2 linked regions of the Nothobranchius furzeri genome follow. The protein of the gene in region 2 purifies or fractionates together with the protein of the main gene of each other region. This does not show direct contact. Links are inferred from orthologs where the notes say so. Each region holds a gene or a part of one and is shown on either strand. Other genes may lie near its edges.

Region 1 (3,656 bases), on a different chromosome or scaffold from region 2:
GTCCGATCATCATTCTGATTGACATGCACGTACACAGCCATTCGGATTGTTGGAGTAAAATAATGCCCACTGTGCATGTGAGAAAACAACTAGAGAGCCACCCCGCCATCATTTAGATTGCCTGACCTAAAAAATGGTGGCCTAATTAACGAATGCCGGCTTTTAAATATGATGGCAATCCAGAACTTGCATTTTGTGGAAGTAAAATAAAAATCTGATTATGGCACAAATCATTTGACAACCATGTTTAAGTCTGTGCTGGAAACACGTAGATTCATTGCGGGATTTGCAGCACGGATCCGTTTCTGTGAACGCAGCAGCCGTTTCTGCAGCAGGTGGATGGAGACGTGCTCGTAATGAAGACAGGGTAACATCGGTTAAACAGACCTGGTTTGAGTTTAAGGAGGCTGATGTTGAGTAGAAAAACATCCTCAGTTAGATATTCTGGCTGACTATCTGTGTAAAAGCACGTTAAAGGGACTTTATGGAGTTCTGAATTTTTATGCTTGCGATTACCCCCTCTGACCAAAAGCATAACGGCAGCTTCAATAGTAGGCTCATGCATGAGGCGGACATGCTGTACGTGCACACTCCTCAACGAAAATAACAGCTGAGTCCCTTGTGTGTGTGTGTGTGTGTGGCCCGGAGGACAGAGGACAGGAGAACGCGCAGCTAATTAATTAAATAATTTGGTTCTGTACCTTTCTCTTCAGCACAGACGACAAAGGTTTAAGATGGGTCAGTCCTCCTGCATGCTCAGATCATTCCCTTCCCTTGCTTGAAAAATTGTTCCAAAATGAAAGTTGAACCCACATCTTTTTTATCTGTGAATTCAATGCCGTTCAGCGAATCTCAAATAAAAATGTGGGCATCTTACTGTAAAAAAATGTACCATTCATGTAAAAAAGAAACTCTTAATAAACTATGTTCACATCAGGAATGGAACCCAGGTCTTCTGCACGAGAGCCCAACGTCTAACTAGGTGAGCTAATGCGCCAGTGACGTCATTTGTATCTGTGACATTTATATCCTTGATGACAGCTGAAACAACGTTCAAAGAACGGTTCGGAGCGAAAATGGCTATTTTGATGCTAATTTGCAGGAAATATCTAGAAGAAAGTTCCACAGAAAGTAGCTAAGGGTCCTCAGAAATGTAGCTAGGTTCATCACGAGGCGTTAGAAACAGCGACAAAGTGGCTGAGTTGGCACTACCTCTCTCTCTGCTGCTAAAGCTACTGATAGCAAATGCTACGGGCGATGCCTGAGCGTGAACGCGCATGAAGCAGCCTGCTCGACCCGAGCATCTCTCTTTTTCTGTGATTTTACAGAAAAACAGGCAATCACAGTAAAAATGCCAGGGCTCGTTCTACAGGACCAGGGCATTGCAGGAGAACGTATGAAGAAGAAATTTATTATTTCTATACATGTTTTGGCTGTCAAACTTCCATAATGTCCCTTTAACGCAGATGAGATGCAGTTGGTTTATGAACACATGATGAACACAGGCTTCCAAACTTTCTGAACATCTCCTGTTATTTAGTTTGAACCAAATTTTCCCAACAGTTTCAGCTGACTGTCACATTTAATTAATAATAAGCCACAAGAGAGCTCAGTAATAAAACATGAGTCTGACCCCCCCCCCCCCACACCGCGTCACACCCATGGATCAGCTGATCAAGAGGCAGAAACAAGGATAACGCTCCCTTATTTTAATATTGTCAACAATAAAATGCAGCAAAGCATAAATCTGCAGTTACTCACTGAAAACGTAACTTCTAAGAACAAAATAAAAACATTAAATTGATTCAGAAAAGCAGGAAGAATTGTTATTTATGTTTTTACATTTTTCATTTTGTTTCATGACGTTTGTTTACAATTTTTTTCCGGGAAAGACAACTGTGCGCATGCTCAACTTATTTAATCTGATTGAATACTTGGTGCATATAAACTCACGGCATGATCGGATAATTTCAGTTAGTGTGCATGTAAACAGAGATTCGGGATTTCCGATCAAGCAAGATATGAATCGGATTGGGGAAATTTGGCGCATGTAAACGTGGCTACTGTCTAAGTAAGTATGGTTGATGAATGAGCCTGGCCCTGACACGAATCGTGGCTCTCCTTTATTCTCAAAATGACCCACAGTTTGTGTTCAAATTCTGTTTACTTACTTCAACACGCTTAATGTCTTCTTCAAGGAAGTTGAGCTCTTTCTGTAGCTGGTCTAGTTGCTGGTATAAAAAAACAAAAACACAAGAACGGCTTCAATATTTTTCCTATTTTTATGATTTTATCTCCTCAGTAAAAAGAGCAACAGCAGCACCTCTCTCTTGTTTCTCCTGGCTTCCTTCAGAAAATCCATGAAGATTTGCCTCTGAGCTGCTTGGGATTCCTGGTGTGGATAAAAGACATCAAGCATAAACAAACTGAAATAGAACATTTACCAACTTACTGAAAACCACGGTCAGAAACTGAGTTCAGGACAAACAAATCTTCTTATAATAAATTCAAAAAAATTCTAACTCTATATTTATACTGACATACGGTAATCTTAAACTACTCTTCAAAATCATATGACACCTTAATATCCAAAGAATCCTTAAGATGAGAGTTTGTGTGTGTCAGAAATGACTGCGGTCATATTCTGCTCTGAATGAGCCAAAGGAAACCAACCAAAGTTTGGACTTCAGCCGACATTTAGCCGTTTCTTTGGGTGATCCATTCCTACTAAGGTTTCTTTAAATCAATCTTCTTACTGTAAGCAGGGAAGTGACTTAACCTCAACATTTTAAAAGCAAATCTAGAATGCTCCATCACTCATCGGCTTTTTAAAAGAAATGGACACCATCTAAATATAAGCCACTGGTTTTGTGTTGACGTTCGGTCAGGTCAGAAATGTCTGCAAACAGAAGGAATATCGATCCATATATCCAAGCAACGGGAAATAAAACCAAGCTGCAAAAGTAAGAAATATGTTGTCAAAAAGGAATGAGACTTAATTTTGGAGTTTGCATTCTCCATGTTTGCACCCAGACTATGAAACCAACCACCGACATTAGGCAGTCTACTTCAGTACAGAGTTTGAAGTCTAAGCTGGTTCTGCATTTTAGCTCCTCTGGTTAATCAGGCCGTTGTTTCAGTGCCGTTTTACCCTTCTTGTTTTTACTGACTTTTAATAATTTAGTAAAATTTTTTCCTTTTGTTGTAATTATTTTACTTAATTTGTGCTAATGCATTTTGCTGGTTTTAGCGTGGAGCACTTGACTGGTGGTATAAAGGTGCTCAATAAATACATAAAAAAATAATGAAAAATCCAATCAAATCTCTGGAAATTATGCAAAAAAAAAAACAAAAACAACAACTAACAAGTAGGGACGCTCCGATCCGACTGCGTGATCAGAATTGTGTGAAAAAGATTAGATTTAACCTTTTAAAACAACAAACATGACTTTTTGATTCACCCTGAGATACAGATTTTCAGCAAGGGCTTAGTTTTAATTTGTTAACAGGTTTCTCTACATCAATATTATTTGTTTCTTGTACGAAAACAAAAACCGTAACACCACACACGGCAGGCATGGGATTCAGACACCAGCTGCAGCTGTTAGCAAACAGGCCAACACAGAGCTAACGTGTCTCGTCAGGAGAGCTAAAAT
Region 2 (3,756 bases):
CACAAAGGGACAACACACGGAGTGCAAACTGTACAAAGCAACTGTTAGCAACGTCTCTTTGAAATGTTCTCGACAGGTTAAAATACCACAAGGTACCGACTTGAGCTAACGCGAAGCTGGAAGGCAGCCGGAAGGCCATTTAAACAAAGTGGGGAACGTTACAGCTGGCTAGCGCTGTGTCAAGAGAAAAGCCTCGCTTACCTCGAGCCAAAACCGCCGGGTACGATCTCCGTCGTCGCCTCAGATTATAGACATTTCGTGCATGGACGCGGCGGTGGGCGTACGGAGCGATTAGCTTAATCAGGATAGACCACAGAGGTTTGCTTTTGGTTTGTTTAGCTTCTGTTACTGAAATGAGCAATTAAGGAAAAGCCTCCGCTGATCGCATCTTTCCACAGCGACAGCACCACCTGACAACGGAAATGACGCACAATCCCTTTCTTGATTGACAGCTAGGCTCGTCCAATAGGAGCCTCTCTTTCTTCGTCGGTCCAACAGCTCCGCCCGGATGATGATGAAATTCTTTGCATAATAAAAGTTGATAAATGAAACCATGACATCATGGTAGCTTCGCTTGTAAAGTTTTAATGCCTTAAAATTGTTATTTTTTTATATGATGCAAGCTGCGTGATGGAGGTAGAGAAGAAATTAATATAAAAGGGCCCCAAATCCAGGGTTAAAATGTAAACAAGTCCGTAATAATGACAGCAAATACTAATGTTTGCAAATTAAAAGAAGTTAGTGGTAAATTAAATTCAATGAGGACATTTTAAAACAAGACACATAAACAAACATTTATAATACTTGAAAAGTAGTACATTATGAACTTTGTTACAGTGTCTGTGTCATTTATTTCATTTCCACACTCAGGGCTAATTATGTATGGAAGCCCATAACCGCCACCCTGATAAAAAAATATACATATTTGTATTTCATAATTATGACAGATATCTCATTATACTGCAACACCATCTCATTATCAGGAGACACTTTCTAATTATTATCAGATAGCTAAGTCATAATTATGAGATTTTTTTTTCAATTAGATTGGCGGGAATGGGTTTCCATAATATAAGGAATCTGTGACAAAAAAACTCACAAAAATATTATTAAAGTGATGAAAAATTTGGCAAGTTTAGCACATCTTCCTGTTTGAAGTGGCATGCAGTTTCCTGGCGCTAGGGGGCAGTACATACATTCCAGGGTAGTTTTACACCATATCGCCATGACTGTCGCTAGTTTAAACAAAACGCTACAGTAAATGCTGTATACCCGTAGAGCAGAAAGCATCCCTTGCAACCCTTGGCGGGACTCTTCAGACTTTGATTCAGTAAATTCCATCGAGAGAATGCAATGCCAATTGTAGTTTTCTGGCGCTGTAGTTTCTGGATCTGCTCGGGGTCCTGCACCCGCCTACTACTACTGGCCAAAATATATTGCATCTCTTTTTCGATGTTGTTCTTTCCCATAGGTTTTGGAAAGAGTTTAGCAGTTTTGTTATTAAACTCATGTTTCCTACAGCCTACATTTTTTTCAAATGTGATAACATAGTAAAGACGAAAATCCAGCCAATCATCTAGCATGACGTAATTTTCGGGGGCAGGACCCTGAGCCAGCCAGAAGGAAACATGGCATCTAAGATGCTAGATCTGCACCCTATGCACTCTAGACCCAATTTTTATGGTTATGTTATTAAGCCGCCAATATTTTTCAACAACAGGACATCATTTTATTCCTTTTCAACAACATTCGGATGTAAATTTCCAGAAATTAACGCTAAAAACTACACACAGCCACTTTAAATACCGAAATAAGCCTAAAAATCCAGAAATTAATACTTGAACGTTGCAACGCACAAGTGATATTCTATTTGAGATATACAGCATTGCTCCTCATTTAGGAATCACTAAAACTACATCTCCAAACCTAGCTCTTATTTATCCCTTCTATCCATATTTTCACAATACTACCTGTTTAAAGATTGCTTCATGCATGATGAAATGACAATTAACTGCCATTTCCTTGAACACAAAGGTCTTAGCAGAAAGAAAAGTCATGCTGTTTCACAACACTCTGCAGTCCTATTTGAGACTGCATGACATTTTGATTAGCCCACCTGAACTCCTAAAGTAGAATGACTGATTAATCTCAAATTCCGCCCACCGCTGCCAGTTTCCAATTAGTGGGTGGACGTGACAGACCCTGAGAGGCCAACCTAAATGGCAGACTTATTTAGAGTTTCACTCGTCTTCCTGTCTTGACTCAGCAGAGCGTAATCTCCCTCAGCCGCATGAAACACAAGTCAGGCTGCGGCTTTACAGTGTCCTGCCCGCACGCTTCAAAGAGGAAGCTGAATCATAACTAGAATTTGAGTTCTGTGAGAGAAATAGATTCAGAGGAAGACTGAATATTTTTCCCACGTGAAGAACTTTTTGACTGAAAAAGTTTTTTTTTTAACCCTGTGTGAGAATTATTTGTGCGGTTTGTGTCCTGAACAGTATCAAACTTACTCTTGTGCCTTTGAAAAGCTGAAATGTTTTCGAGTAAGTAATACTGAGTTGTATAAGTCCAGCAGGATGACAGGGCTTTGGTCTCTGTTTGCTGTGTCGGTAGGCTGTATCCTCAGGTCCTTGGTGCATCTTGTGTCTCTTTTTAGGAGATTATTGGGACAACCTCGCCAGAATCCTCCTCCCCCGGATCAATTCAGAGAATTGTCTCAGCATGTTTGCTGCTGTGGAATGCACTCGGTGTGAGTGACTGGGGGAGTGCAGATGCACTTTGACTCGTCTGCAGGCAAACACTAAAGGCTGTTAAGTGATTTAAGTTGCTATGGCGATCTTCATCGTAGGTTTGCTGTCTAAGCAAAGATAACCTGCTTTTAATGAGTTTATTTTGCTGGTAAACATTCAAATAAGAAGCACACAAATGCCCCTCTCTGTTTTTTTATTTGAATTTTTTGCCCTGCAATAATTTGGCAATGCAATAAACTCTAGGTTAGATAGTCAGCCTCAATTGTTGTAACTTAAATAAAATCATTATTAGAGCTAAAAGTTGAGACATGTTATGAAATGGCATGATCCTAAAAAAAAATCAACAGCTCCCTCTTCTGTTAGAATGAAATTAATACAGCATAACATTAAGTTTCAGGGGAATACAGTTAATTTATAATTGGGAAAATGGTCTTTGAGCCTCTACAAAGCACAAGGAGCTCTGTTGAGGCTCACAATGACACAGGAGCCCTGATAAAAGTCAAACAAAAACCGATAAATTAGATCTTTAATGAAAAGACTGGTTTGCCCCACCCACTAGGTCAGGACATGAATATTAAAGATGCATGAAGTAAAAATTACATCCTGTTGTCACATTTGGGTAATGTAGTCCATGTATTAAACATGCCCCTCCGGTTCAAGAGTTTCATGACGGTTGCCAGTTACAGATCAGCACCAGAAGACTCTAGATCAGGGGTGTCAAATATGCGGCCCGCGGGCCGGATCCGGCCCGCAAGCGGGTTAAATCCGGCCCGCAAGCGGGTTAAATCCGGCCCGCGAGATGATTGTGTAAACTTTATTTTCATACTTTACAATGTAGAGTGATAATAAACGTATCTTTGTGAGCAAGTTTTCTCTGTAATGAGTATAAATAAAACAAAGCTGTGCTCAAGGCTCACACAAGAACTAGAATCACATCCTGAAGTTGTCCGCCACTCAAAATGTGACTCCTGATATTGATGTGCCGGTGAAAGCTAAAAGATGTAAA

The links.
Region 1: the proteins of stk40 (region 2) and cop1 purify together in Homo sapiens (affinity purification with mass spectrometry; 3 studies listed by BioGRID and IntAct, counting the BioPlex papers as one, with this or other methods). This does not show direct contact. The link is inferred for Nothobranchius furzeri from reciprocal best matches to the Homo sapiens genes STK40 and COP1.

Annotation. Positions count from the first base shown.
Region 1 is NC_091751.1:60,912,316-60,915,971, reverse strand, and holds part of cop1 (E3 ubiquitin-protein ligase COP1), read right to left. Parts: intron 2,393-3,656; coding exon 2,324-2,392; intron 2,232-2,323; coding exon 2,172-2,231; intron 1-2,171. UniProt on the Homo sapiens protein: E3 ubiquitin-protein ligase that mediates ubiquitination and subsequent proteasomal degradation of target proteins.
Region 2 is NC_091745.1:71,006,285-71,010,040, forward strand, and holds the start of stk40 (serine/threonine-protein kinase 40), read right to left. Parts: upstream 2,717-3,756; 5' UTR 2,640-2,716; coding exon 2,511-2,639; intron 417-2,510; exon of another isoform or gene 202-416; intron 1-201. UniProt on the Homo sapiens protein: May be a negative regulator of NF-kappa-B and p53-mediated gene transcription.